Mus musculus: one gene and its partner. The protein of the gene in region 1 purifies or fractionates together with the protein of each later gene. This does not show direct contact. Links are inferred from orthologs where the notes say so. Each region holds a gene or a part of one and is shown in the gene's direction. Other genes may lie near its edges.

Region 1 (15,605 bases):
GATATAGATATAGATATATGAATGAATGAATGACAGATTCACTGGCTTTTGTTATTTTGGAAGCTGAGAATTCCTGTGATCTCAGGCTACAAGGTGGTGACCTGTTAGCAGTGGGTGTGGGGGAAAGAGGGAGTGGGAGAAAACCTGCGAACGCCAGAGTTCTGGTGCTCTGGGTGGGCGGACGCAGAAGACTATCGCGTGCTTTCCACGTGGCCCCAGGTGGGCATCTGGCTGTGTGAAGCCACTGGACTCCAGCTCAGAAGAGCTGAGAACAGAATGGGGGCTCGGGGAGGCTCAGTCAGCCCTGGGACCAAAGGGAGGAGAGGGCAGAGGGAGAGGGGACGCTGGGTGGTTCTTACTCGGGTGAGAGTCTTTGGTCTGGTCAGTGGCTGGAGTGCAGGAAGGCCTTCCGGCCAGAGGATTAGATGAGGCTCGTAAGGGGAAAGCCTATCCCATCGTTCAAGCACAGGGGGCCTTGATGAGCAGAGACAGTCTATGGTTTTAGAGCTTTATTGCAGAAAGGCAGGGAGAAAGAGAGAAGGTAGGAAGAGGGAGAGAGGCCGATCATGGCCACGTGGGGGGAGGGGTGGAGGGAGGGAGAGAGGGAGGGCTAGAGAAGAGAGTAAGAAATGTGAGAGTTTAAAAAGAGAGAGGAGGGGCCAAGCAGCTTCTTTTATAGTGGGCTGGGCTATCAGGTAATTGTGAGGAGGAGCATACCTGGCTATAGTCTGGTAACTGTGGGTATGGACTCTAGCCAGAATGCCAGGAGCTTGGGACATTGTCTGCGTGACTGATAATCACACACCTCTCCTGTGGGGGCTGTGGAGGCAGTAACTTTGACAGGAGCCAGGGGTCCAGGAGACATGATCGAACACCTCCTGTCACATGTAAGTGGAAATCACCAGCCATCGGTTTCCCGGGGTTTCAGACCTTTGCTCAACTGGAGACGAGGCTGTCTGTGCACAGCCCACTGCCCCACAAGGACCCAGCAAAGCCAGTGGTGTAGTTCAGTTTTGACCTGAGAGTCTAATGGTAGAAATCCAGTCTGAGAGCTGGAAAGGAAAACAGATGTCCCTCATCAAGCAGCCAATCAGGAAGCTACAGGACTCAACCCCTGTTTGCTCCACCTTTTGTCCCCCAGCGTACTCTGCAATGATTGTCATATCCACCACTTGGCTACAGGAGGCAGTCTGCTTGGAAATGGCCTGCAGCTGATGAGTCAGGGTGTGTCCCTGGTTCCTGACTGCCACTCTTTCCTAGAAGGAGTACCATGACACAGGCATTTCCCCTTCTTTAAGGACTCTTGCCAGTAACAAGGAGGCCAGGAAACTCTGTGGTAAGGAGCAGTAGGAAACACCGTAGCCCTCATAAGAACGACTCTAAAAGTGCCATGGGAGGAGTCAGTGAGGTAGTGGCTCTCAGCCAAGTGTTCTTTGATGAACAGAGAGGCCAGTCAGTCCAGGCTGTCCCTCCTCTGTCCCCCCAGAGGGGAGGATTTCCACACCACATTGGCTCTGGGGTCTGCTGGCTGAAGCATCAGTGAAAATGAAAGATTTCTAGAGAGGAAGTCCACAGTGTCTCTCCATCCCCATACGTCAGTGTTCTGACCTGAGTTTGAGGCACACTGATGTGAGAAACTGTGGTGAGGAGCATGTAGTGAGCTATCCCCCCAGATGACATAAGGGCTGTGGGATGCTTGGGCCTGGATCTAAGCCACGGCTCCTCTCATCCAGGGTCTTTATCAGCTCTCTCTTTATCACAATCCTCTCCTGCGCCACCCCTCTACCCCATACACACACAGCCCAACAAGGAGGGTTTCTGACTGACTGATCCTGTATCAGATACCTGGCCCCCTCTACCCATTGACAGCTTCCTCATCTTACCCAGCAGGGCAGACACAGGGGTATTTTTTCCCAGTGTTTTCCCCAGGCCAGTTTTAGACTCTGCAATTAGGTCTCCTAGGAGATGTTCAGAATTTGGGGAAATTTTGTACTTTCATTTTGCCTTTGTGGGTTTTTTTTTCTCATCCAGATAAATGTGTTCATTGTGAGCCCCACGTGGCTAGGTGATCTGGCCCGTCCTTCAGTGACTTTTTATTTGCCAGAATAGTTTGTGTAATAGAGGACTTTTACTTAGAAGTCATGTTGAAGATGGTCATTGGTTGGGAAACCAACATGGTCAGAGGCATCAGCCCCTGAAACTGGCAGGCAGGCAACTTTGCCACTTGTAGTTATGCATCAAGAGAAGGAAAGGATAGCAAATCTTAGAAGACAGCATAACGTGGATTTCAAGAGCCGGAGATTGAGAAGATGGCTCAGACCGTAAAGTGTCCGCCCCTCGAGCTTGGGAACCTGAGCCTGAGTCCCTGATGTCCACATAAAAGCCACATACACACACAACACATTCATATACACACATAATACAGACATTACTAATTAAAAATAAAGAATTGGATATGGGTTCACTGCAAAGCCCATTTGAGTTTGGGAGAGGCTGCTCTTTGTATAGTCCTCCTCACTCTCAGAGTGAGGCACTGTGTACCCAAAGGGAGGAAGTGGTACTGTGCCACAGGTGATGGGGGCTAGGAACGAGAAACCACACATATCTAGGATTCTTTCACTGCTCGTACTAGAAGACATGTTCTATAGATAGTAAGCTATTGGCCATCATGAGACCAAAGACTGGCAACCCCCCCCCCGTGTGTGTGTGTCACAACTCTTACACATCCATCAGTAAAATAGGGAAATCATACCAGCATCTTATTGTTTCAAAGATTTATGGAATAATGTATATGAAAAGCCTGACCTGCAGGGTCTACCGTTAGTGACACTCCTTTCTTTCCAATTTCTGGATTCTTCTAGGAATAATAAGTGTCTTCCTGGAAAAGGGAAAATACCCTTTATTTAGAGGCTGGATTCCCAGGTTTGGCCTAGGGTCAGTTTTATACTCCCATGAGCCCTGTCTGCTCCTGGGTTGCTGTGAGGATAAAACAACATAGTAAATGTGTTGGCTTCAGAAAAAATGGCTTTGTCAATACAAGATGTGCTCAACTGTGTCGTTCCACATTGGTCTGATCTGTCAGCATCCGCTCTCTACATTGAAGGAACAGCTCTGCCCAGAGCTGTATAAATTCTGAAAACTGAATTAGCCACATGGCCTGTCTTAGGGTTTCTATTGCTCTGAAGAGACACCATGACCGTGGCAACCCTTATAAAGGAAAACATTTAACTGGGAGTGGTTCAGAGGTTTAGTCCATTATTGTTATGGTGAGAATCTTGGCAGTGTGCAGGCAGACATAGCGCAGAAGGAGCTGAGAGTTCTTCGTTCAGCTCAGTAGGCAGCTAAAAGAGATTGTGAGCCACTGGGCCTGGCTTGAGCTTCTAAAACCTCAAAATCCAAAGAACTCCACTCTCTATGAACCCATGGGACCCATTCCCATTTAAACCACTACACTCTCAGACTCCCATAGGCTTGTAGCCATATCATAATGCAAAATGCATTTAGTCCAACTTCTAAAGTCCTCATAGTCGATCACAGTTTCAACACTGTTTAAAAAGCCACAGTTCAAAGTCTGTGAGGCTTGTGGACAATCTCTTAACTAGAACCCACTGTAAAATCAAAATGAAGAAGCAGATCACATATTTCCAACATACAACGACACAGGATATATATTATCACTCCAAAAGGAAAGAATGGGAGCATAGTGAAGAAAGACACATCAAGACAGAAAACTAGCTGGGCAAACTCCTATTCTGTATCTCTATGTCTAATGTCAAAGTGTTCCTCAGATCTCCAACTCCTTTCAGCTTTGTGAACTGCAACACACTTCTTCCTCTCTTGGGCTGGTCCCAGTCCCTGTTAGCAGCTTTTCTAATGGCTCTGGCACCTCCAACCTCTTGTGGTTCCAAGGCAATCCAGGCTTCACCTTCACAGCTTCACACAATAGCCTCTGTAGGCCTCCATGCAGAGACACCCACAGCTTTCCTTTGTCATGGAGGGAGATTCTGCAACCCCTTTCTTTTATCTTTTACTATAAAGCCAGAGCCATGTAGCTAAAATTACCAAGTTCTGCTACTTGCTGGGGCTAGAACACACAAACACACACACACACACACACACACACACACACACACAATCATTCGGTTATATCTGCATCAACTTTATGGTTTTGATGGTTTTCTTCACTGCCCTAAGCTTGGCTGTCCTGGAACTCCATCTGTAGATGAGACTGGCCTTGAACTCAGAGATCCACCTGTCTCTGCCTCTGGAGTGCTGGGATTAAAGCTTTTCTTTAATTCCTTTTCACAGTTCATTAATTGCTTTTCACAAATCAGAAGCTTAGCTGGCTCTGGTCTTGTCCTGAGGTCACCGCTCCCTCTATTCCACTTAGCATTAGACTTTTCTTTAAACCTTTTATCTTCTTGAGCACTGGACTTGACTCTATTGAAATTTTTGGTGCTATTTTCTACTCCCCCCAACTGTACATTTAGTATTTTTCCTTTGCTCAGCTTGCTCTTTTTCATTATAGATCCTCATTCGCATGGAACATCTATACTGGGTCCCCTTTTCACAAGAGTGGGGGTGGAGAGAATGTAAGAGACAGAGGTGGTGGGCGACTACAAGGAACCAGTGTCTTCCAGACACAGCGGGACACATATGTATTCAAGAACATAGTCCTTGGTAAGTCATCCAGGCTCTGGTGGAAGATCACACATCCAGGAATATTTGGGCAGCACAAAATTGTTTTGATGGGCTAAGAAGGAAAAGACACAAAGCTGGGTGGATGTCCTTGGAAGAATAGGGGACATGAATATGATAGAATTCTCAAAGAACTAATAAAACTATTATTTTTTAAAAGTAAAGAGTTCATCCTAGAAGAATAAAGTGAACATGAGTCTAAGTCTTTGAAGAGAGGGAGGGGCCTGACCTAAGCACACAGGATGGAGCATGCATTCCAGGAGTTGTGTGACTCAAGGGCATGCATTATTCTTGAAAACTCTGATTCAATAGCCAGGTGTGGTGGTGCACACTTTTAATCTCAGCACTTGGGAAGCAGAACCAGGTGAATTGGAGACCAGTCGGGTCTACATGGTGAGTTCCAGGCCAGCAAGAACTACATAGTGAGACCCTATCTCAAAAAAAGAAAATACAATAAAACCATCAGACAAACAAACAAAGGAAAAGGGAAAAGGAAGGAAGGAAGGAAGGAAGGAAGGAAGGAAGGAAGGAAGGGAGGGAGGGAGGGAGGGAGGGAGGGAGGGAGGGAGGGAGGGAGGGAGGGAGGGAGGAAGGAAGGAAACTCCAATTTATATCATTTTTCAATTTCTATGATATTAACCCCTTATGTGGAGTTAATTCCTAGCTACCACAGTGAGGACACATCTGGGAACACACCATGCCCAATACATCATTATGAAGTTGGATACAGGAGGCAGGAGAAGAGAAAACAAAGAGAACTACAGACCAGTTTTCCTCTAACTCCAGCTCTTTCTACCCCATGACCTTTGGGGTCAAGAGTAGATTATCTGTGAATATGACAATGGATTCTAAAAGCATTAGCCTGGGGACTAGTAAGATAGCTTGGTGGATAAGGATACTTGCTGCATAGGCCTGGCAACGTGAGTTTAATTACTTGATCCCACATGATGGAAGAAAAAAGCTGATTCCTAGGGGTTGTTCTTTGACTTTCACACACACACACACACAGCCTCACCTTTCAAAGTCTCCTTTTGAGCTCCTATTCTAGTGTTCTGTTCATGGAAGTTCTTTCTTCCATCCTTTCTCCATAGCAAACCTTACAAACAACTTCTAAATTGAAGGCAACAGAGAGCTAACTTGATTCTGCCCCACTGTGCCTGTCAGGAAAATGGGCTGTTGGTCAGAGATGTCTACGCCTGTCTACTCTATCAGTTTGTGACTATAGCTCAAAGTATCACTTGCACAGGTATTCAATGAGATTATGTAACGAATCATAAGTAACAGTCCTGTCATCTCATGCCAAGTAAGTTACAAATAGAAGTTGAGCTCTGGATTCCCTAATTTGTAGGTGGTCTACTCAATGTCCGTTTTTTTCTTAGGATCCAAGAAGAGTTTACCAGACAGATCTGCTCAAAGAACTTGTGACACCCATTTCCTGGAAACAGCTTAGAAAAAAAGAGGGGTGGGGGGGGAATCACACTTCTTCCCCAAGCCAGGGTTTGACTGATGTGACATTACAGCCCCTTTCCCAACTCCCATGGGTCTGAACACCTGACTTTGGCTTCTCAAGAACAATGAAGTGATAAAGTGATTTAAGCCTGATCATAAATGAGCAATCCTGGAGGCTCAAGTAGAAAAAAAAAAAAAAACCCGGTTGAGACAGGAAGCTGGTTCAGGAACTTGTCAGCAGAGGCAGCACTTCGACGATCAGAGCTTCTTCCTTGGGGGTAACAGTAAGCAGCTGTCCTGCCGAGCTGAGCTGAGCTGAGCTCACAGCTGGGGACCCTGTCTGCGATTGCTGGCTAATGGATCCCAAAGGATCCCTTTCCTGGAGAATACTTCTGTTTCTCTCCCTGGCTTTTGAGTTGAGCTACGGAACAGGTGAGTGTCCATTTGTTTAAAGGGTTTGAGTCTTGTGTTTAGCAGTTTGGAATCAGCAGAGCCCCATGGATGGAGAAGCCAAGGGCTGGGGAGTGCTGTTCAGTTGCCTCTTCTTTAAGGAGAGTGCCTCTGGGTTTCCACTGTGTCTTTCAAAGAGGAAGAAACCTGTTGAGTTCCCTGAGCCTTGGGCTACAAGGATTTGTCCCATCTACACTAGTTTCTATGGAAACCAGAAGCTAAAGGCACCTGCTATGTCCATAGTCAGCTTCCTGGACTCAGGCTAAAATTCTGAGTAGCTGGTTTATGTGGCTACCCTTCTGGCAAAGACCCAGGCTAGGGACCAAAGCTCTGGGACACTTGACCTATACTTCTGCTGAGGAAAACGACTCTCACATGTACATCATTGGCAGACAAAGAACACCGGTCCAGTGAAAAGCAAGGGTGATAGGAGCAACAGGTAGAAGTGGGAAACCTCAGACCTTAGGCTCACACCAGACAGTGGCTGCGGTGTGGTCATGCTTTCTTATAAGAGATGACTCCAAAGCACCAAGAAGAGGAAACGTTGGGATTTTGGAGCCCAGGGTTGCTTACAGAATGGGGAAAGTGCAATCAGGAAACTTCAAGGCTCTGCAGTGGGCTCAAGTGATGGCAAAGGGTTAAAGGAGCAGGACTTCTCTCCCATCCCTCTGGTTCTTCTCTTTTCCAAGGCAAGCTGTTGTTTTCTACTTAGTGGGTGGGAACTGTAAGGAAAGGTATTGGAGAGCAACCGTGCTAAGCAGTGCATACTGGGCTAACCATGGAATGAATGGTCAACTCCATTGTAGAGTTTAATTAGATTGTGGGAGACAGCCTGGCAGAGATGGCTTTAGGAAGCGGATCGGGGAAATCCTGAGAGCCAGAGCATTTTGGTCGTGGGGGATTCATGACTGTAAATCCATTATGGACTTTTCTAAGAAAAACCCTGAAATGTGCCAGGGATTGGGGGTGGGGGGCTGTACCTAGAATCTTTTATTCAAGTCTCAGATGAGGAGACCCTTGTCTAGCTCCACTTTGAGATAATCAAACTGAGCATCTTTGGAGGTAGAGCTAAGCCCTTCTTGTTGCATACCATTTGAACCCACCATTGCTGGCTTACTTGGTGACTGTAGTAACTATGGAATGAACGTTTGGTTTTCTCCTTGTCTAACCTTGTCTGTAGCAGCTCAGATGTAGCTAGCAAATGTTCTGCTTAAGGGTAGGAGGTCACTGGCTAGTGAGCGACAGCCCAGCCCCAGGATACATACATGTCTCTCCACTTGGCAACTATTCTTTCCTTGCATTCCACGTTCTAAAATAAGCTCAATTTTTGTCAGTGTTTCTATTTATAAATGTGTACTCTTTTGTGAAACCCCATTAAAACCCAAATAGAAATACTTTGCAAATGAGACTTATCAGTCGTGTCAGGGCAACCCAGAGGAGCTTGATTCTTGTAAAAAAGTGTGCACCTTCCCATTTCTGCTCAATTTTCAGTTCCTACTCAGAACTATAAGATGCAAAAAGTGCAAACGTCCCTTCCCAAGAAAAGCAAAGGCTCCTAAAGGATAGTTGATGTCTTTATTTACAGTGAACTTCACATGTAAGTGAGTGATGTTCAAGAAGCTAGGCAGCTTCTATATGGCATCTTGACTTTAATCCAAGAGGCAGAATAAAGAGTTGCTATCTTTGGGTAAATAACTGCAAGACAAACTTTATAGAAAGCATTGTTTTAAGTGTTTTATCCTTCAAATTCTCATACCAGCCCTATGAGATTGGTGCCACCATTGCTAGAACTTTGTCACTGAAGAAAGATAAGCAGACTAGATTAACCGTTTCTCTGTACTCATGAGGCTGGATGCTAGACGTTTCAGTGAATGAAACTTGATATGCTCTGTTTGAGGACTGGGAAGAATGATCCAATGTGTTTCAAGGTCCCAAGAGGAAAACTAGGCTACGATGTCTGTGATTAAGGTGTATATGTTGAATTAAATTGAAACTAATTGAGTATGGGGTTTTCCAAAAGGAGAGAGGCATTGCTGAAAGGAAGGAAAATGAAGAGGCACGTAGGAAGCATTTGATGGGGAGCTGGGAAGTAGAAACTTTTTTGTCATAGTGGTTTTTGCTTAACCTTTTTTGTTTATTAGAGGAAAGTTGCATGTGCATTTCTGAAACTTCAACAAAACAAAACAGATTAGAATGAAGACTTGCCTTCTTTCTATAACCCTTGCTATAGATGACACTCTGTCCATGTTTCGAGTATCCTTCACAAAGTAGGTTGGAGTCTACTAGAGTTGGGAAGGAGAACTTTAGATGGAGATACATCCCAGGCTTCAGTGATGTGAGTGTTTGGGTGGAATGGCAAGGGGTCTGTTGCAATAAAGAAACCCATGGTTTGTGGCTAAGGAACTTGTAAATCCTCACCAGAAAAGTGGGGAGGAATAGTCTCTCATCCCACATTGGGGATGTTATAGAAAGAAAATGGAATTCATCTTGATTGTGGAAAGGGGGGCATTTAGACTCATGGTGTCGTTCATTCATTCAACCCATTTAATTTCATTTATTGACTTTGATAAGAAGGATTTCTTGGGCTCCCATTGAGTCCCAGGTACCAGTTAGAACAGTAGTTCTCAACCTGTGGGTCACATCTTCTCGGAGGGTCACATATCAGATACCCTGCATATCAGATATTTATGTTACAGCTCATAACAGTAGCAAAATTACAGTTAGGAAGTAGCAGTGAAATAGTTTTATGGTGGCTACAACCTGAGGAATGAAGTGTCGCCAGGTTAAGAAGGCTGAGAATCACTGTTAGAATACCACAGTGAATAAAAGATACAATCCCTCTTCTTGAATGCTTCTAACTCTGTGAGCACAACAAGTGCTAACGTAGATAAAAATTGTGCTGAGAAGCACAAAGGAGGGATGGAGAGATGGAAGAGGGAAGGAGGCGGCAGGAAGCCTACCCTAAACCTGAAGTCTGGAAAGTCTTCCCTCATCAGAAGACCTGGAGGGTGGAAGGAACTGGACAGGCAAAAGGTGGGCCAGGCTTTCAGGCTGGGGGATGAGGAGTGCAAGCAGTGTGAGCAACGAAGACCCAGCCCTCTCAACCTTGGACTAGGCATCTTAGTAGGTTATCTAGGTTTAAAAACAATCCTTAGACCAGTTGTTTTTTTCCTTCCTGAGTCTACATTTACCTCTAGAACTGTGAGGCCCATGAGACCTGTCTCTTTTTTTTCTTTCCTTCTCTTTTCTTTTCTTTTTAAAGATTTGTTTATTTATTATGTGTAAGTACACTGTAGCTGTCTTCAGACACTCCAGAAGAAGGTGTCAGATCTTGTTACAAATGGTTGTGAACCACCATTTGGTTGCTGGGATTTGAACTCAGAACCTTCAGAAGAGCAGTCAGTGTTCTTAACTGTTGAGCCATCTCTCCAGCCCCCTGTCTCTTTTCTAAAAATAAAAAATAAGTAAAAATAAAAAGAAAGAGAGAAAGAAAAGACAAAAGAAAGAAGTAAGAAAGAAAAGAAAGAAGAAAGAAAAGAAAAAAGAGAAAAGAAGAATGTAGCGAGGTAATAAAAGAATATGTAAAATACCATAATGGAGCCAAACATAAGGTCCTGAGGTAGAAACCCCACTTTGTCAAAGGCTTAGCTAAATCCTGAACGTATCAGGCCACTGTTCACCTGCCCATATGAGTCACTCCACCATCAAAGCAGAAATACTCGTGAAGGAAAGTGAGTTGGTGTGAGGTATAGAAATGTTCCTGCCCAGTCTCTTCTAGTAAACAGGGCTACACTGAATCACAGGCTCGCTGGAAAACCCTCATCAGGCAGGAGGATGTTTCAGGAAAAGAGACTCCACTTGAAGGCTTTTACAGCCCCGCATGTGTTTCCATTTGAGCACCCTCCAGACTCAGAGGTCATGGGAGCAATTACGTCATCTTTCTTCTCATGTGTTTGGGTGTTGGGGTCTCCTTCTGGTGGAACTTTGACTCCAGTCCTTATGTGTGGACTGTCTTCATCTACCCCATCGGTTTCCTTTCATCCTTTCTCCTCTCGACTTCTATCATTTGTCTGTTTGTTTGTTTGGCTACTTCCTACCCTACCTTTCTCTTCCTTGTACCAGTTCTGTACTCTGAAAGTACAAAAACAAACAACAGCAGCAACAACAACAACAACAAGCCTGCAGTGTCTGGTGACAGGAAAAGGTGTGGGAGACGTGTAGGAGAGTGAAAAAGAGTTAACAGTCTTAGAAAGGGTTAATGTCCCCATTTCCCCCTTCTTCTTCATATCAAAATTAGTTTAAAATGTCAACAGTGTGAGAGTGATTCTGTTTTTAAATGTTCAGCTCTCTTTGAGAAATGGTGTTTATGGAAGTGATCCCCGAGTTGTATGTTCAGGGGTCCATGGGTGGCTCTCAGTCTTCCCTGTTTCTTTTACATAGAGAAACTTGGGTTCAGGACCCAAGAGACCAAACTGTATCTTGGGCACATTGTTACAATTCGGGTGTAAAGCCATCAGAGGAGGTGTGTCGTCTGGAACTGTCAGGCATTTCTGAGTGTGGCTGGAAAAGAAAGGCCCAGTGTTCTTCCCAGGGTACCACTGGGAAAATTGCAACAGACAACCACAGGAAAACCAAGCGTTGCCACCTTAACCGAGAACCGGCTGAGCACTGTGTTTTCAGGGAAAATATTAGCAACGCCCCAAAGACCTAGTTCTTTAACACCTACCATGCTTTCCTGTAACAGCCAAGCACCAATGAGTACAGTCAAGTACTCATCTTGACTGTAGCCGGTGTAGAAAGCATTTTTCCCCAAATCACTAGTATTTCATTAATCTGGGCTGGGTCATTTAGTAGACAGTATAGGGATTTCAGAGCACATTGATGTCAAGAATATTTTGGACATTTTACCCAATTTCCAACAGCTCATTTCTACCACAGTTGAAATGGGGTCTTTTCTAGCAGACCTGTTGCAGAAACAGGTGGTTTTCTACCCTTTCGAATCTCTTATCAGCGAGAGCAATCTATGCTCATAGAGTCATGTGTTCCTAACATGAACATTAACTTAGGGTTAAATTCGGTTGTATACGTGTCAGGCTAAGGTAAACAGGAGCTTGCCGAGGGTAATATGGCTTTCAGTGCCTGCTAATTGAACAGATATTTATTTCAGAGCCTGTCTGTGCCAAACACTGTATCAGGACATCAGACACAAACACTGGTATGACGTCTGTTCGTTTGTTCTCTAGAGAAGGACTGTATTCAAGTGGGACAGACAGCAATACAAATGGATAACTGTGCATTTAACACCAGACGGTGACAGCAAGGGCAGGAAGTATGTCCTAGGAAATCTGTCAGAGGAGGCACCTAAAGTAAAGTAAGGCACTGAGAAGTTCAGGTTCATAAGGGAAGAACTCTCCAGGGTCGGGAAAGTTCTTGATGAGGTTCTGGAGCAGGGAAGTTCTGTGGCCATAGTGCAGTGAAAGCCAGAGAGTGGGCACGGAATGGGTTTGGAGCAACGCTAAGTTCGAAGTGAGCAGATTCAAAGACTGTGAAGTTTGTAAGGGCTAGAACGCCCAGGAAGATTAAAAACAATAGAAAGAAAAACCTAAATCAGACATGGTTTAAAGGATCACTGTGTCCGAGGTATAAAGGCTGGGAGATTAGCTGGCAGAGTGGTAGCAGCTAGGCCTGTGGTGACGGTGTCAGGAAGGAATAGGTGGCAAGGACTTCTGTGTTGGATCAACTTGAGAATTAGAGCCAGCAGGATTTTCTGTCAAGACTAAATGTGGAGTAGGAGAAAGGACAGGTTCAAGGGTCCTCCAGTGTTCTTGGCCTGAGAAACTGGATGATCTGTCATGCCTGAGCAGAGTTCTTTGCTAACGTTGGACGCTATTTAAACTTCCAAGTGCCCATCTATGTAGGTGGTGGAGTCTACAGTGAAAGGATTAGCGATGGTCTACAACTGTAAATATTGCAGTTATGTCACACTGTGGAGCTAAATGAGAAATGAGGTGTAGATAAGGAAAAGAAGGAAACCTGAGCCCGACCATGCTCTGATACTTAGAGATCTCAAAGAACACAAGTTTCCCCTAAGGAAACTAAGAACGATAAAAGAAGAAAAACAAAAAAGCAAGTCATGGAAGTGTAGTATCTTGGGGACCAAATGCAGACCATGTTTAACAGAGGGGTGATGAACTACACCATGGGTTCCTGAGAAACACGCAAGGCAACGATGGAGAATTAACAGACTTGGCTCAGTGTGACAGACTGACAAGCGTGATCCTATGAGAATTTGGAAGAAGAGTTGTCTGGAGTGGATACAGGGAAAATTGGGTCAGGAAGTAAACGCAGAAAACATAAATAGATGTGCAAGAACCTTCCAAAAAGAAAATGAAAATAACCAAGTGACTAAGGATAGACCTGGGGTGGGAGGAGAATTTCTCTCTCTCTCTCTCTCTCTCTCTCTCTCTCTCTCTCTCTCTCTCTCTCTCTCTCTCTCTCTCTCAGATAAGGGCAATTAACTGTTTGTATGTATGTGTGTGTTGGTGGAAGAATTCCAGGAGGCATCGGTAGTGCAGGGCTTGGCTCCGGAGGCAAAGCCTGAAAGCCTGAGAGTACTTCTCTAGGGAAGATACTAGTCTTGGATGGGAGCACGGGTCAGTCCTCCAGGTAGATTGGCTGGTTGGGATCTCCATAGATTGAAATCTGCTTTTGGTTTCTTCTCTATTTTTTTCTTTTCAGTGAATCAGAAAGGGAGGCAACCCCTGGGAGAGGAGGCAGGAGGGTTCAGGGTTAGGCTGCGGCTTTGAAAGAAGCAGAGGTATTAAATGCTCAGCACTAGAATCCCTGAGAGTGGTTTGAAAGAGCTTTGAGTTTTCGTTGGGGTTTTCCCCCCCTGTTCTTGTTGGTTCAGCATTTTTAAACAAGGGAAACAAAATAATCTCTTGTCCTTACCATTATTAACAATCGGGGATTGTTGGAGAAGCAAGATTCCAGTTTGGGCACAAAGAGCATCTCCGTCCTAGTTCTCACAGGCCTCAGACCCTTCTCTGCTTCTTCTCACCTGACTTGATGCTTCCAGGCTCCTCCTCACTGTCACTGCTCTTCACCCTGCATATTGAACCTTGGCAGAGAATTTACAGCCTAAGGTTCCAGTCTCTGACTCTGGCGCTCACTACTGTCACTTTAAGGAAGTCACTCACTTTACCTCTGTTGTCTGTGCCTTCGCTGTTCAGTCCGAGTTGAGAGAACCCTGGTATTCATGATTTGAGGATTTCCACTGGATGCTCTGAGATACTGAAGTTTACAGTTAGGATCCTAGTGGGAATCCTGGTAGACCACCACCTGACAATATGATATCGTTCAGGAAGTAAGCAGAGTCTCAGTCTGTCTTTCTCTATCCTCAACATAACAAATGTCTCCAGATCTTCCATCATAAGTAATTGTCTTCCCGTCCTTCCCTCAGGTGGAGGTGTGATGGATTGCCCAGTGATTCTCCAGAAGCTGGGACAGGACACGTGGCTGCCCCTGACGAATGAACATCAGATAAATAAGAGCGTGAACAAAAGTGTCCGCATCCTCGTCACCATGGCGACGTCCCCAGGAAGCAAATCCAACAAGAAAATTGTGTCTTTTGATCTCTCTAAAGGGAGCTATCCAGATCACCTGGAGGATGGCTACCACTTTCAATCAAAAAACCTGAGCCTGAAGATCCTCGGGAACAGGCGGGAGAGTGAAGGATGGTACTTGGTGAGCGTGGAGGAGAACGTTTCTGTTCAGCAATTCTGCAAGCAGCTGAAGCTTTATGGTAAAAATGGGAATTTTTGTACTTAGCACAGGAGGGCCTAGAAGGTTCTCAGTCCCAGAGTTCAGGCCGTTCCCAGAAGTAGGATGTCTGGAATTGGAAGCAACTTGAAAGATCTGGTCTAACAGGTATTTAAGTTTAAGGGAAGCACTTTGACAAACAGACCTTTATGGCTTTTTCTTCCCATTGGTGGAAGCTGATTTGATTCCTGTTTTGAAAGAGAGGGAGCCTGCTGTGTGGAGGCCAAAGGACTAGCTTAGTTTGCATATTATTTTTTTAAATAAAAATACACACAGACACACACACACACACACATATTTATTTATCAAGCTTGACTTTTACAAAGTTTGACTACAACTGAACAGACCCACCTCCTCTTTCATTTGCCAGGGAGCCAGACTCCAGTGGCAAGCGATTTCACATGTGCTTGCTCACACATATGTGGGATGTTTGCTACAGCAGAGGTTCTGAGGGTAAAGAGAGCTGATAGTACACCCACAGGCACTTCACCAAGTCCCAGAGCCTTGGGGGGGGTAGGGGTTCCACCTACACTGCGAAAGAAACACCTCTCTTCTCACTTGAACCAGGATCTGCTTACATAGTTATTTAGTTGTGGACCGGTAGAACCTACATTTTGGCTGAATACAGGACTTGTCTGAGCCCCTTTAACCTCCACTCCTGTCCTTGAAGACACCTACAGTTCCTACCCCTTAGGCCCTGAGGCCTGTCTGCTTTCCAAGGCTTCCTGACAGCTGTGTGGAGACTTCTTTCAAAAGGATGTTTTACATCTCCAAGGATGGGATGGGAGTTCACAGCCAGCATATTATTGGAAGCTGTAGCTTTCTAGGAGAGAAAGAAGAACATCTTGGCTCTCTCCTGCCCCAGCACGTTCCTCCAGCAAACAGAGAATGCAGAGCTCCCATAGCCATCTGCTGAGTGTGCGTGGAGGCTGCACATCATGTGTTTTTTAAATAACGTAAATATTATATAATCTGTCCTTTTGTTCTTATGAGTTTACTGAGTTCGTCACACCTTATATAATCAGCTGGGTGTGTTGGGAAGTGCTGTCTCTACAACCAGGATTTTCTTTGAGGAAAGAGAGAGAGACAGAGAGAGACAAAAAGAGAGAGACAGAGGCTGATTTCTGAATCAGACTAAGGTATTTATCTCAGCCTGGCCACTTAGAAGTTACATAGTCATTCAAGTC
Region 2 (14,946 bases), on another chromosome or scaffold:
TTGAGGGAACCCATACAGAAGGCTCCTTAGTGCCACTCCCTTAGCCCCTGTCTACATGGTGGTGTCGTCTTGGATCTCTTCCTTTGTCTGAGCCAGGACATGTGCTTTGCTCATCTGTGTCTTTTGTGGCGTGTGCCACAATTTATAGGTTTTTGATATTTGGATTTTAATTGTGTTCTGGTTAGAGTTTTTGTTTGGATATTCTCTATTGCCTTACATAAAATTGAGTGCAATTTCATAGTCACATTTAGAAGCTAACCTGAGACAGGTGGGGCTCTTGGTAGTTGAGCCTGGCAACTGAGAGGCAAGTGATGGTGCAGGGTTTTGGTTGGTGTACTTTTGCATGCCTTTAGCAGTGATGTTAGGTGTCCTGAGTTCCTGGGCTCTTCTCAGTTACAGCTCTTCCCAGTTCCTGCTTTCTGCTTGATGGAAAGGTCAGAGTTCATCTAGCACAGAGGACATGGGCTCGTAACAGAGGAATCAGGCTAGCCACCATTGGAAGTGCAGTTGAAAACTCCAGAGCAGAGAGCCTGGGCAGAATGGTACCTGGTGCCTGTGCTCAGCTCCAGTCCTCACCTCCTTGACCCAGTCCTTCATGTCACCCTGGGAGTGTGCACAGTAGTTCTGGAGTCTCTTGACAGCCTTTGTTTACAGCCTGTGTCCCTCACTGCACAGAAGCAAAACCAGATTGTGGCAGCTCTCCTACGCAGCAGTCCTGCAACATGCAAACCACTAAGCAGAGGGCCGCAGGTGCTGTGAGTCAGCTGAAATGTCTCTTTTCAAGGCAGGGTGGTTTTGTGTTCTCTGTTGAGGCCTCTGTAGTGACCAGAGCAATCCTTGAATTGATTGGTCAGAAAACAGCACCATTACGTTGGCAGTGATAGAAATCCTACCAGACGGTCAAATGCAAAGGCTGAATTTAGAATAAAAATCACATATTCCATCAGCTGCTCCTTCTGTCTCGGGGTCCTTTCTGGGTTAGTTACTAAGCTCTGTAGCTAGCTGTCCTCTTGTTTTTTACCACCTGTAAGTTACTCAGCATTTCTAGACTTTGATGTAAACTTTCCTTGCTGATGTTCACATGGGTGGTTTTAGAAAGTGAGTGTGACGATTTCCAGAAAGACAGAAGCAGAGCATGTTCTGTCTTGGACTTATCATTGGTAGATGATGGAACTGTTCCTCTTGGAGATAACACAGGCTCATTCCTCGGCTGGACAAGGCTTCTTACCTTTATGTCATTGTTACTTCTTTCTCAGCTGCCTGCCCTGGTGTTTGTTTTGAAACAGGATCTTGCTATATAGTTCTGGCTGGCCTGCTATTCACTATGTAGAGCAATCCAGACTTACACTGGAAGTGATTCTCCTGCCTCTGTCTTCAGGGACTACAAGTGTGCACACTCAGCTTTCAGTTTATCTGTTCAGGGTACCACTATGCAGCTCTAGCTGGCCTGGAACTTGCTATGTAGATCAGGTTGTCCCTGAGCTCACAGAGACCTGCTTGCCTCTGCTTCCCAAGTGCCAATACTCAATACATAAATCAATAATGGTGTGTGCTTCCCCCCTCTGTTCGTTCGTTCTTTCTTTCTTTCTTTCTTTCTTTCTTTCTTTCTTTCTCAAGATTCATTTATTTATTATATGTAAGTACACTGTAGCTGTCTTCAGACACTCCAGAAGAGGGCATCAGATTTTGTTACGGATGGTTGTGAGCCAGCCACCATGTGGTTGCTGGGATTTGAACTCGGGACCTTTGGAAGAGCAGTCGGCGCTCTTAACCACTGAGCCATCTCACCCAGCCCCCAGCTCCCCCCCCCCCCCCCCCAATCTGTTCTTGAAGCCAACAGCCATTGCAGACTGTGTTCTTGGTTTTGGGAAGCTGGTGTGTGGTTGGTGTCAGATGAGTCTGGATATAGAGAAAGCAGCTGGCCCAGAACCCTGGCTGCCCCTCTGAGTGAGCTGTTCATACTGTTCAGAGAAATCCAGGTACACATGATAGGACAGTGTCAGCCATCTGCCTGTCCTCTCAGAACAACTGATAGAATGCTAGAATTGCAAGTTCTGCTTGCCTGGGGGCAGTCCCTCCCACTTTGCCTGTTTTATCCTCAGAGCTGAATAAGCAGGTGTTGACTCTGATCTGGTAGCTAGTGGGTGGGGCATGGGGTGGGCATCTGGCCAACCTGCGGCACCTCCTACCCTCCCCCCTGTGGCCTGCCTTGCTCATTTGCATTGTTCTCTTGTTGGCATTCTAGAGGATAGAGGCAGGCTCCTGTCCCAGGAGGAGCCTCCTGCTGCTGTCACCAGCAGGCCTGGGATGATTGGTCATTGCAGGTCTGGATTTTCACTAGGGCTTGGGACATTAATTAACAGGCTCCTTGTGGTTCCTTCCAGAGCAAATGTGTCAAGTACTGGCCTGATGAGTATGCGCTCAAAGAATACGGGGTCATGCGTGTTAGGAACGTCAAAGAAAGTGCCGCCCATGACTACACTTTACGAGAGCTCAAACTCTCTAAGGTCGGACAAGTAAGTATATTGTCGTATTCTAGACACTGTGTAGCTGTCCATGTTTCGAAGTCACTGTGGTACTCTGCTCGCATTCAACCTTTGTCCTGTGTCCTGTCACTCACTGGTTGAGCGCCACGTCGGGTGCCTCATAGCTGTTGAGCCCAGTTTGCCACTATCTTCCCTTGTGAGGAAGGCAGGCATAGGTCCTGCCCTCACAGAGCGTGGAGAGATGGGGGTAAGGGTAACTGCAGCTTCCTGGCCCTCAACTCTTTTTTTGTTTTTTGTTTTTTTGTTTTTTGTTTTTGTTTGTTTTTGTTTTTTCGAGACAGGGTTTCTCTGTGTAGTCCTGGCTGTTCTGGAACTCACTCTGTAGACCAGGCTGGCCTCCAATTCAGAAATCCACCTGCCTCTGCCTCCCGAGTGCTGGGATTAAAGGCGTGTGCCACCACTGCCTGGCAGCCTTCAACTCTTGTGACATGACACAGGGTAGGTAGGTAGGGCCTCTGAGAGGTGACACTTGCTGAGTTGCCAGCCAGAGGGGCTGTGCATGCAGGCAGAAGAACAGGCTCCAGGTAGGGGAGCAGCTACCGTCCCAGGCTGTGATCAAGTCTGTGAGCAAGGTTAGTGCTGGAGCTCTTCTCCATGGCCTGTGGCTCAGGCTTAGTCCTGGAGTGGCTGGCTCGGAGTCATGTTGTTGTGTGTTTACAAGGGCCTTGTTTGATTTCTTTGGGGATTCCTAGATTAAGAAATCTACTTTTATCCTCATGGATTAAAGTCAGGTATGCTGAGAAGCCCTACACTTAGATAGCTGTGCTTCAGGCTGAGGTGACCTGAGTGTGGCTTCTCCAGCTGGCGTGAGGTTGGGCCTCTGCATAACCTTTTGGGCACAGGCGTTGTCTGAGCCACATCCTGATAGCCTGACTGCAGGAAAATGGGATACTGACTGGGCAGGAGAATTTCAGGAGGGTATTGCAGAAATACTCTTGGTTAGGTCTTGTTGGAAATAGCCTTAGAAATTAATAAATTAATTATTATTTATAACATTTACTAGTATTATAAATAAGATCACCACTACTACTACTACTACTACTATTACTACTACTACTACTACTACTACTACTACTACTACTACGAGACAGGGTTTCACTATGAATCCCTGATTGACCTGGAACTGGCTACAGAGACAGGCTGGGCTCAAATTCGCAGATATCTTCCTGCATCTGCCTTTCTAGTGCTGGGATTAAAGGTCTGTGCTACCATGACTGACTGAGGATTTTTATTTTGATTATCTGCCTGGCCTGGAATTTGCAATATAGACCAGGTTAGCCTCAAACTCAAAGAGATTCCCCTGCCTCTGTCTCCATATGCTGGAATTAAAGGCATGCCCCCATACCTGGCTCCTGGGTATTAAAGTTTACTTACTTGTTTTTACATTTATTTTGTGTGTGTGTGTGTGTGTGTGTGTGTGTGTGTGTGTATGCGTGTGCATGCATGCATGCCTGTATGTATGTATGCAAAGGTTAGAGCACCATTTATGGGAATTGGTTCTCTCTCTCTGCCATGTGGTTTGAGGATATTAAGAGCTTTGAGCTTTATCCACCATTTGGAACTTGTCTCAATTAATTATTATTATTTTAAATCAATCTTTTTTTTAAGTTTTATTTATGTATTTTTATAGGAGTACACTGTCGCTGTCTTCAGACACAGCAAAAGGGGGCATCGGATCCCATTACAGATGGTTGTGAGCCACCATGTGGTTGCTGGGAATTGAACTCAGGTCCTCTGGAAGAACTGTCAGTTCTCTTAATCGCTGAGCCATCTCTCCAGCCCCCTGTCTCAATTCTTGTGCCCAGTGAGCACATGTAAAGCTGTGTTCTGGGAGGCCTCTGTGTTGGTCTAGGCCTTTGACCTGTTCTGCATGTCTCCAGCAGTGGTCTTTCCTGCTGCGCTTACTCCTTTGGTTGGGAATGGTATGGAAGCAGTGAGGATCAGGTCACTGGAAAGTCATGTGCAGGGGTCGGGACAGTTTGGCTATTGGAGGGAAAAAAGAGACCAAAGGTGTCTCAGAGCCATGAGTCTGAGTGGACAGCATTGTTGTGGCCAGTGCGAGAAGCCAGACGCACAGCTGCTGTGTGGACGCATTGAGCCGAGCTGTTGAGCAGGCATCTCCATCGGGTGTCAGGAGAGTTATGATGCACATATGTTTCTAGCACTGTGCTGCTTGCTGGGGACAGACAACACAGGTGCTGTCTTGCTCTCTCAGTTGCACTCCACTGTCCAGATTATGTTGAATCACATGCCCTGATATGTCACTATAGAGTGCAGTTAGGGCCAAGTCAAAGGGTGCTGTGTGCTGAGATGGGCCAGGGAAGGAAGTTGATACTCACTTAGCCAGCCACAGCCGGTACTGAGCACTCATTCTCTGACCCACAGAACTGGAGGGGATGAGCCCGCTGCAGGGAGAGCTCAGGAGCAGTTGGCAGATGCTGCCTAGAGCGGTGAGATGAAGTGAGATGGTGGACGTTGGCTGGGGGAGCATAGGGGACCGGGATAGCAGAGGCTGGCTTGGGATCCTTGTAGTGGAAGTGATGGTTGGGTGAGCACAGGATGACCCTGTAGCCTCCAGACTTGCAGAGTAGGCTGCAGGAGGGACAGCAGGGCAGCTGTCAGGGAGGCTTGGCAGAGGGCCGTGACCCAGTGTATTGTGGGTAGGCTGGTTCCAGACCAAAGCTTTCCCCTGTAAAGATGGAAGGGCAGGAGGAGAGCCTAGGGCTGATGGTGAGCAGAAAGGGCTCTGTTTCCTGTGCTCTCTGAGGGGGTGTATATAGTGTGTGTAAGCCACAGGAGGTGTGTTCCTCTTGGCACACCCGTGGTGGTCAGCTTTCAGGAGTTGGTTCTCTGGGATTGTCAGGTTTGATGGCAGGTGTCTTTACCCACTGAGCTGCCTTGCCAACCCTCTTGTGACATCTCATGATGAACTGTCAGGCTTGTCAGTGTTTCTGAGTAGCAGACAGGCAGTTTCTTTCTTTTGGTGCTAGCAAAAAGCTGTTCATCTTGCTCAACACCCCCTCCCTCCTTTGAAAGGAATGTGTGTTGTGTGGCTTGTCTCTGGATACAGAGAATGCTGCAGGGCTTGCTCCATCTTGTGTACCAGGAGATTTTAAGAGGGAGGTGTGGGAGATGGCGGCACACTTGCGCTCTTATCCTGGCATAGAGGCTAACATGGATCCGTCTGGCTCCCGCCTTGCTATGACAAGTCACCTACTGTACAGCACTGATGTACAGAGATGCCCTGGCTAAGAAGGGGTGCTGCTGTGCAGTGTGGCAGTGCATGCTCTGTTTCTCTTACTGGCCTCCTGTCTGTGACCCATGAAGTTGCCTGGGTTTCAATCACTTAGTAACGACAAGGTTAGTTTTCCATGACATCAGCAGATTAAGTGCATGTAGCACACAGGAGATTTTTTTAATCACAGCAAGCACCCTTGGATGTAAGGAAGTTCACCAGCATTGGTGGATATTGAAGCCTCCCTCCCTCCCTCTGACCCCTGCCTTTCCTTTCTCTCCCCTTCATATCTTTGCCCTTCCAGCCCTCTCTTCTTCCTTTCCTCTCTTTCGTCGTTCCCCCCGCCCCTCTCCCTTTCCTTAGTGTTTCCTGGCTTGTCTCCGTGGGAAAGTCACTGGTGGCTGTTCCAGGCCAGCTTTGAGCTTCTGTTCTTCCCGCCCTCTCTTCTTCCTTTCCTTTCCTCTGGTCCAGCTTTGAGCTTCTGTGGTCAAAGTGGTCCTGGTGCCTCTGTTGATCCCTTGCTGTTGTTGTAGCTAAGAACAGCCAGGATATTCTCAGTCCTCACCATTACTTCCATTAGCTGGGAGGGCCTTTGTTTAGCTGCTTTAACCCTCTGTGTGAGAAACAGGTCTTTGCAAATGCATTTGGGGGTTTGACTCTGCAGTAAGGGGCTTCCTGGGATTTGAGCCCAAGCCTCACCATCTAATTCACAAAGCCTGTTGTCTGGCTGTGACAGTGCTGTAATGGACGTGGGTGCCTGCATGAGGCTGCAAGGGCAGATGCTCGAGGGAGCTAGAGTTTGCCAGGCTGCTAGTTGGGAAGACAGACTGCAGTCCTTAGGGCCCTCCGCGGCTCTGAAGTTGAGTGCTGCCTGACTGAGGACGTTGGGGAATATGGCCTGCTCTGATGACTCTGGACTATGCCTTGGCTACATTTTGCCAGAAGATGCTACAAATTGCCTAGCTCCATGTCTTGGATCTCCTAACAGGCAGGTGCTCCTTCCAGGCTGACCCATTGATTGTCAAAGAAGCACTCCTGGGCACCAGAGAGTGGCTTTCCATCTGCAAGGCACCAGGAAAGGTCAGCAGCCGCCGTGGCTCCTCAGCCTTTGGTTTATTTAATTCTGTTCTGGCTTTTCTTGGCTCTACTCCAGGGAAACACAGAGAGAACCGTCTGGCAGTACCACTTTCGGACCTGGCCAGACCATGGCGTGCCTAGTGACCCTGGAGGTGTGCTGGACTTCCTGGAGGAGGTCCACCACAAGCAGGAGAGCATCGTGGATGCAGGCCCTGTCGTGGTTCACTGCAGGTGACTGCCCAGCTTGCTTTCCTTTAATAGTTTCTGTTACTTAGGGGCTGGGAAGTCAGTTGTCCTTGGTAGGGATGTGACGGACACACTGTTCCCAGCACTCTGCAGACTGCTCATTCTGAGGGCAGTCCTTCCCACATAGGCCTTTGTGGAGGCTGCCCCAGGGTCACCACAGCAGAATGTATGGTTCTATGAGGGATGCTTCAGTTTTCTACAGTCTCGTTCATATGCTGAGCCAATCCAGAAATGAGTGAAGCTTTCCTTGTCGATCACTTTGTTTGTTGTTGTTATTTTGAGATAGGATTTTACTATGTAGTCTATGTTGGCCACTACCTCTGCCTCCAGAATGTTGCGGTAACAGGCCTGTACCACCAGGGCTGGACTGTTCAGTGTTTTTTGTTTTGTTTTTGTTTTTGTTTTTAAACCACCATAAATGTAGGTTTTGCAGCTAGGTTTTGGCTATTTAGGATAGAAACGAACATACCTTTCTTCCTCTGAGTATCTGCTGTGGCTTTTAAGACAGGAAGCCACGAGTCTGTGGGCAAGTTTGTATGTCCAGAAGAGCCATAATTTGTCCAACTGTTTTCAAGTAAAAGTTGTATGAAACTTGGGAGTAGAGAAAAGATGCCACGTGTTGTTCAGGGCCCCAAGTCTCACCACTGTGAACCTCGTGGTGATCCCCCCCCCCCGCACCCCCACTCCACAGATGGGGAAACAAGGATACCCTAGGGGGCCCATGCCAGGACTGAACCCCTCTGCACGGGCAGGGGTTGCTGATAGGAAGCTTCTCCTATCAGCACATTGTGTAGACACACAGCAGAGAGCCTGTCGACATTGACAGCTTGGTTCTGAGTGAAGCTCCATCACTTCATCACTCTGCTCTTACTCTTCTACCTACAGCGCTGGGATTGGCCGGACAGGAACCTTCATTGTGATTGACATCCTTATTGACATCATTCGAGAGAAAGGTAGGTCATTGGAGGACAAGAAGCCGCAATTCCTGTTCAAGTTTGTGACAGGAGGTGCCAGGAAACGTAGCCTGCGAGAGAGAATTTGCAGGAGAAAGAAGCAGTTATGGAAATACGGATGAGATTCACTTTCAATGTGTTTTGCTAAAAATAGTCCTAGCACTTTGGTCCCATCACTGTCTCTTCTGTCACCTGTGTCACATGGTCCCTCCTGCCCTGGTGTTGGGTGGCATTCTTGGGGAGCGAGGGGCTCCTGGGGCATTGTCCTGGCATTTGCTGGCATTGTTATGCGTGTTGACTCAGGAGTTCTGCCCTGCACCCGCATGGCTAGTTGATGGGAAGGACCGGCTCTCTGTCCTTGCTGTGGCAGGCGGTGCTCCTGCAGCTTTAGGGTCTGTGCTTTGCAGGTGTGGACTGTGACATCGACGTTCCTAAAACCATTCAGATGGTGCGGTCCCAGAGGTCGGGGATGGTCCAGACAGAAGCACAGTACCGGTTTATCTACATGGCTGTCCAGCACTACATAGAGACGCTGCAGCGCCGGATCGAGGAGGAGCAGGTATGGAATGAGGCTCTGACACATGGCTCAGCTCCTGTCTGGACTCGCTCTCTTCATCTGGAAAATGTTGACAGTTGGCCTCCCTGTAAGCTGTGGTCAGCATCCACTGCCTCCCAGTTGAGGGAAGTGTGGTGCCATCATCATGAGCGGCAGTCGGCTCTGCCTTACAAAGAGGAAGTGACTTTCATATGCTAGGCTTAGAACTCAGGGTCCACAGTTTCCAGCCATTTCAGCTTTGCTCTAGATTGATCTATTCTGATTCTGCCTTGTAAAATGAATGCCTTATTTCTAATAGAGCGTGGCAGTTTGAGCCACTAATTTGGCTGCATTGAAACAGTGAATTTCAATTTTAATAAGCTATGCATAATGAAGAGTGTGCAGTTGGAGCCTTTCCATGTGAGACTATTCATAACAGACACAAAGCTGAGCTAATTAGGATGCGCCAAGCTGAGGGAGATGAGGAGAGCCGTTCTTTTGGGGAGCTTTTCTTATTCCTTTCCCAAACCCTGTTGTGCTGCAGCAGATGGGTGGTGTCTAAACACCAACCACGGTTGTCCTTTTTATTGCTATTGCTTTCCAAAAGCCCAGGAGAGGGGACTTGGTGCGTGTCATAGGGTAGCAGGCTGTCTCTTAATGAGTAGCTTAAAAAAAAAAAACAGTGATCATCTCGCTGTATAGCCCTGGCTGACCTGAAATCAGTTTGTAGATCAGGCTGGCCTTGAACTCAAAGATGCACCTGCTCTGCCTCACAAATGTTATGATTAAAGGTGTGCGCCACCATGCTGGCCTGGAAGAGTAGGGAGAACCGCACCATCCTCCTTGAGAGCCAGAGGCGGGCCCCTTCCTGAGTTTAGGTACTCAAGTAGACGCGGGGTCAGGAGGTCACATGATTGATTAACAAGCCACCCATCCCCAACTTTAATTTTTTAAATATGAATTCAATGTAAGCAGTTTTTTGTTTTTTTTTTTTGTGGTGTTAAAGAGCAAACCTACGTACGGCCTCATGCACGCTAGCTCAGAACTCTGCCCCTGAGCTGCACCCCAGAGCCTCATGCACACTAAGTTAGCACTGCACCACTGACCTGTACCTCCCACCTCTGAACCTGGATGGCTGCCCTAAAGTTCTTTTATACATGTCTCCCAGTTTACACTTAATTGGGACCACTCATAGTTTAGAAGAGATGCTCAGGGAATAAATAAAGAGCTAGCACATGGTTGCTCAGCCTGGTCAGAAACATTCAGGAGATTCTGTCATCTTGTCGGGAGAAGTCCTCTGTACCATTTGGGTTTGTATTTGAGTTGGGATTGAGGGTCTTTGGCTGCTCCCCATTGAGGGACTGCTGCTTGGAGCCTTCATATTGCTTCCTGGCACTGAGACTATTAAGACTGAGGCTGTAAGTTGGATTTAGGAAATAATTTTGGGGGAAAAGAATCTTATTTAGTAACTTGGTTGATTGTGGGGAAGGAGTATTTACTGATGGGGACACAAAGCATGTGTTTCAGTTACTTACATGTTAACAAGTGAGTGTCCTGCTGATTCCACCTGAAGGATGCAAGCTTGCACTCACTGACTCGCTCACTCATTCATTCATACATACAATCATTCATTCATACAGTCATTCATTCAGCTAATTCATTTTGATACTAGTATGTGTTAGCACTTTGCAATTGTATTAACTCAGATTTTGGAACTTGGAACTTTGGTGTTAAAAAAGTATATAGGAGGGATGGGTTGTGGTGGAACAAGCCTTTGAGGCCAGCACCCAGAGAAAGGACTAATCTCTAAGTTCAAGGTCAGCCTTGTTTACGTAGTATGCTCTAGGACAGCCAGAGCTACATAGTGAGGCCTATGTCTCAAAAATAAACATACATTTCTGCGTGTATGGTTTGGGCTGGGGGTGTAGCTCACTTGGTTTGGAACTTGCCTAGTATACACAGAGCTATGGTTGGCCCCATGTAAACCTGAAGTGCTGGCATGTGCCTGAATCTCAGCACTTGCGAGACCAAGATGGGATCAGAAATTCAAGGTTGTCTTTGGCTGTGTATTGAGTTCCAGGTTAGTGAGAGCTATATAGGACGATATTGCAAAAACAACAAAGCAACAGTGAAAAAGAAAACTACCACTGCACACAAAAGAGTCAACTGCACACAAAACAGTCAACTACCTGTCTCCCTGCTTATTTTTAAATTGAATTTCAATGTGTGTGAGCCTGTGTCCATGTGTAGAAGGAGGAGGAATCAGACCCCTTGCACCAGGATGTGCACTGCCCAGGGTTGCTGATGGGAACTTAGCTTTCATCTGCAGAAGCACTTGCGTCCTTAACCACTGCACTATATGGCTCCAGCCCAAGCCCAGCGGATTCTTAAATTAAGCAACAGGACAAAACTCATTTAGTATAATGAATTAGTTCAAAATGTAGCCATCTTCCAACTTTGGATGAGTTAAGCCCTTTGGGAGTAAAAGAATTGCTAAATGAAAACAAAGTGGCAGTTGGGTGGAGAACCGTGGGGAAAGAGGCGGAGTGAAACAGAGGAAGCGGGCCAGCAAGAAAGAGATACACAGAGGGGCGAGCAGAGAACGGGACAGAGCACCGTAGGGACAGTCCTGAGTGGCTTATTAAGACTGCCTCTTGTGCTGCAGGGCTTTTTGTTTGTTATTTCAAGACAGAGTTTCTTTGTCTGTACAGCCCTTGCTATCCTGGAACTTACTCTGTGGACCAGGCTGGCTTCAAACTCACAAAGATCTGCCTGCCTCTGCCCCGCAAGCACCGGGATCAAAAGTGGCACCACCAGTGCCCAGCTGTGCCACTGCAGATTTGTTGAGAGGTTTTTTTTTTGTTTTTTTTTTTTTTTTAATTTTCCATTTATATTAGTAAGTACTTTATTTGCAAAAGCAGTGTGTGGAGTGCGTGGTATTTCTTTTACTCAACTTCTGAACACAAGCATTTATTTTTTTCTTCAAACTTTATTTAATATACATAATATTTAAAAAGGGAATGTTTATAACTTACATGAGTCTGTACCTCTTTGCTTCTAAGTGCATTGGTATATATTTTTTAAAAAAAGATGTTCTGTTACATCATCATGATTCAGTTACTAAGTTGGGGGAGCAAATTGAAAGCTCTGTATAATCTGCAGGTCAGGGCTGGAGCCCAGCGTGTGAGCATTTACTAGGCTCCTGGGGTCCATCCCAGTACAGCACACAAGCTTGCCCAGCATGTGTGAGCACTTATGTAGCTTGAGGCAAGAAGGCTGGGAATTCCAGTCTAGCCTGGGCTATGTTAGACCTTTTCTTGATAAAACCACAACCAAACAAGAAATTAAACATATGTCTTGGAAATACAGCTCAGAGGTTAAGGATACACACTGTTTTTATAGAGGACATGATGGCAGAGGGCTCAAAACTGCAGGTAACTCCACCTCTAAGGGATCCAGTGCATGTGTGTGTGTGCGCGAGTACACACACACACACCTCATGGTGACTTCCTCATGTGCACACACAGACATAAACACAACTCAAAAAGCTAAAGTAGGCCATACTCCACATTCAGATTTTTCCAGTTTGTCTTGCTGTGGTCAGGGTCACATGGTGTGTATAGCATTCATGTTTGTTTCCTGTCTTTCATCTGGAATAGTTTCTATGTCATACTATTGCTCTTGCTCCATACTTGGGACATTCCAGGAGCTGTCAGTTGCACCCTGCAGCTGAGACTCAGGCTGTGCTGTGCCAGGCCCTTCTGCACCACTCCAGTACCTTAGGGCTAAGTTGATTCAGGACAGTCAGGTCAGCTCTGCCTCTTGAGAAGATGATGGTGAGGTTTCTTCACTGGGAACTTACAGAATCAAGGCTAGCTGGGCATGGTGGCACATGCCTTTAATTCCTATAGTGCAGAGACACAGAGGCAGGGGGATTTCTGTGAGTTCCAGGCCAGTCAGGGCTATATAATGAGACTCTGCCTCAAAACAAAAATACTGTGTCTATGTATTGAGAGTGTACAGTGTATTTTGTGTGTGGAAATGCTATGGGATGATTGTCATGGTTAGTTGGTTAGTGTGCCCAGCACCCCACAGTGCATGCTGAGGTGGTGGAGTCTACTCTCAGCAGAGTTCAAGTTTGCTCTACCTTGTCCAGTCCAGTGCTGGGCATGAGGCTTCCAGAGCCCGTGGAAGATGTTATGTCTGAAGATATGTACTGTGGTCAGTGTCTCCCTCCTGCCACAGTCCCCAACAGCCCCTGCCCTAATCACAGTTTGTAGAAGTCGGGATGCTTGGTGAGCCTTCCAATTCTGGATTGGAGTTCATTCATTTCATATGGTCAAGTTGACAACCAGGAATAACCACTGCAGGTTAGAATCCTGTTCTTCCTGCCCCCTCCTCCCCAGTTCTGGGATGGGGATGTGCACAGCTCCCTCTCCTTGCTGCTCAGTCTCCCAGAATGGAAGGTGTCCAGAGTGAAGAGGGTGGCCACGCAGGAGCCTCACTTTGATTGGATTTGTTGTCTGTGCTCTGGGAGCACATCCATGGATAGTGTGCAGTGGCCATTGACTCTTCACATAGTGTACCCATGCCTAAGCATCCCAGGGCACTTGGTCTTAGACATGAAGCCTGTAGATTCTCATGTTCCTTGAATAAGAACTACTCATTCCTCCTGTGGTCTTCATGTAGCCCAGGAAGGCCTTGAACATAGGGAAGTCTGCACATGTGCAGTACAGGTGCATTGTTATGGATATTCACTGCATGGAGAGCCGACTCTGCAGGGCTGTCTGCTCTCTACACACATGGCATGTGTGAGCCTTTATACATGGTGAGATGAGATTACATTCCTGTTGTTTGCTCTGTTGGTTTCCTTCCCCTACCATTTCATCTTAGGGTGCTGTGGTTGAGATGGCTGAGCACATCTCAACATTGTGGGAGGGCTCTGGGTGCCATCGCCAATACTGCTAAATACATAAAGTGCATTACTGTGCCTTCCATCCTTGCACACAGTGATAGAGCTCTGTGCTGAAGCAGGAGTAGTGCCTCTAGCCTGTGTCAGTCAGCAGTTCCTTGCAGCTCTGGGGGCTCTGAGGGTTGTGGTTGCAGCACACTCCTCCTGCAGGTGCCGTGAGCTCCTAACCATTTAGTCAGCATGTTAGTGTTCTTAAGAGTCTGGCCTGTGGGCTGGAGAGATGGCTTAGCAGTTAAGAGCACTGACTGCTCTTCCAGAGGTCCTGAGTTCAATTCCCAGCAACCACATGGTGGCTCACGACCATCTGTAATGGGATCTGATGCCTTCTTCTGGTGTGTCTGAAGATAGCTACAGTGTGCTCATATAAATAAAAATAAGTAAATCTTAAAAAAAAAAAAAAGAGTCTAGCCTGTCCATCTGCCTCTTTTTTTTTCTTTTGATAAAATAGCTTTTTTGTTTCTGTATTTTTCTAAAAATCATATCCACAGTCCTCCTTACTTGTATTTTTTTTTCCTTAACTTTCAGAAAAGCAAAAGAAAAGGACATGAATATACCAATATTAAGTATTCCTTGGTGGACCAGACAAGTGGTGATCAGAGTCCCCTGCCACCCTGCACCCCAACGCCACCCTGTGCAGAGTAAGTAGCGATACGGCGGCAGCGTAGGTCTGGTAGAAGCTTAACAGCAGTTGCTTGCAGTATTCTCCTCAGGCTTGCTTGCTGCCCACTGATGGTGCATGGGGCGGTGGGGTCCAGGGACTCTCTAGGGCTCATGGTTGCAGGGCCCCTAACCAGTAGGCACGTGATGGGCTCTCCAGGATCCTGTGGGGCCCTGGGCATGTTAGGTAGGGTTCTCTGGGGAAAATCTAATTTTCCTTTTGCAGGGAGCATTATTTCAGTGGGAAGCGCTGTCCCTTACAGTGTGGAGACTCTTAAGAATAAATAAACTCTCTGTTCATGTGTGGACATGACTATGATCTGCCAATCTTCCTGTCAGTCAGGGTTTTTAAACCAAGGGTCAGAAAGCCAGAGCCCATAGGCTAGCTTTGCTTTTTAAAGGAGTTCTTATTTAAGACAAACAAACAAACAACCCCAAAAACCTGACAAGCCAACAGTTGCATGGGGACAGCTATCCCAGTAGGAAATGGCGAGCAATTACGAATGGGTGTGCTGTAAAAGAAGCTGCAGGTGGCTTACGGACATGCAGGAGAGGCTCATTTTCCTTGGTGGCCAGCAAACACGAAGGGAAAGCTCAAAGTTCTTTTTTTTTTTTTTGGGGGGGGGTTCGAGACAGGGTTTCTCTGTATAGCCCTGGCTGTCCTGGAACTCACTTTGTAGACCAGGCTGGCCTCGAACCCAGAAATCCACCTGCCTCTGCCTCCC

Evidence for each region.
Region 2: the proteins of Slamf1 (region 1) and Ptpn11 purify together in Homo sapiens (affinity purification with western blotting; 3 studies listed by BioGRID and IntAct, with this or other methods). This does not show direct contact. The link is inferred for Mus musculus from reciprocal best matches to the Homo sapiens genes SLAMF1 and PTPN11.

What each region holds. Positions count from the first base shown.
Region 1 is NC_000067.6:171,760,724-171,776,328, forward strand, and holds the start of Slamf1 (signaling lymphocytic activation molecule isoform 1 precursor), read left to right. Parts: upstream 1-6,408; 5' UTR 6,409-6,503; coding exon 6,504-6,579; intron 6,580-12,789; exon of another isoform or gene 12,790-12,878; coding exon of another isoform or gene 12,879-12,927; intron 12,928-14,059; coding exon 14,060-14,401; intron 14,402-15,605.
Region 2 is NC_000071.6:121,136,673-121,151,618, reverse strand, and holds part of Ptpn11 (tyrosine-protein phosphatase non-receptor type 11), read left to right. Parts: intron 1-2,384; coding exon 2,385-2,516; intron 2,517-6,922; coding exon of another isoform or gene 6,923-6,934; coding exon 6,935-7,089; intron 7,090-7,989; coding exon 7,990-8,057; intron 8,058-8,464; coding exon 8,465-8,616; intron 8,617-14,089; coding exon 14,090-14,202; intron 14,203-14,946. UniProt on the Homo sapiens protein: Acts downstream of various receptor and cytoplasmic protein tyrosine kinases to participate in the signal transduction from the cell surface to the nucleus. Positively regulates MAPK signal transduction pathway. Dephosphorylates GAB1, ARHGAP35 and EGFR.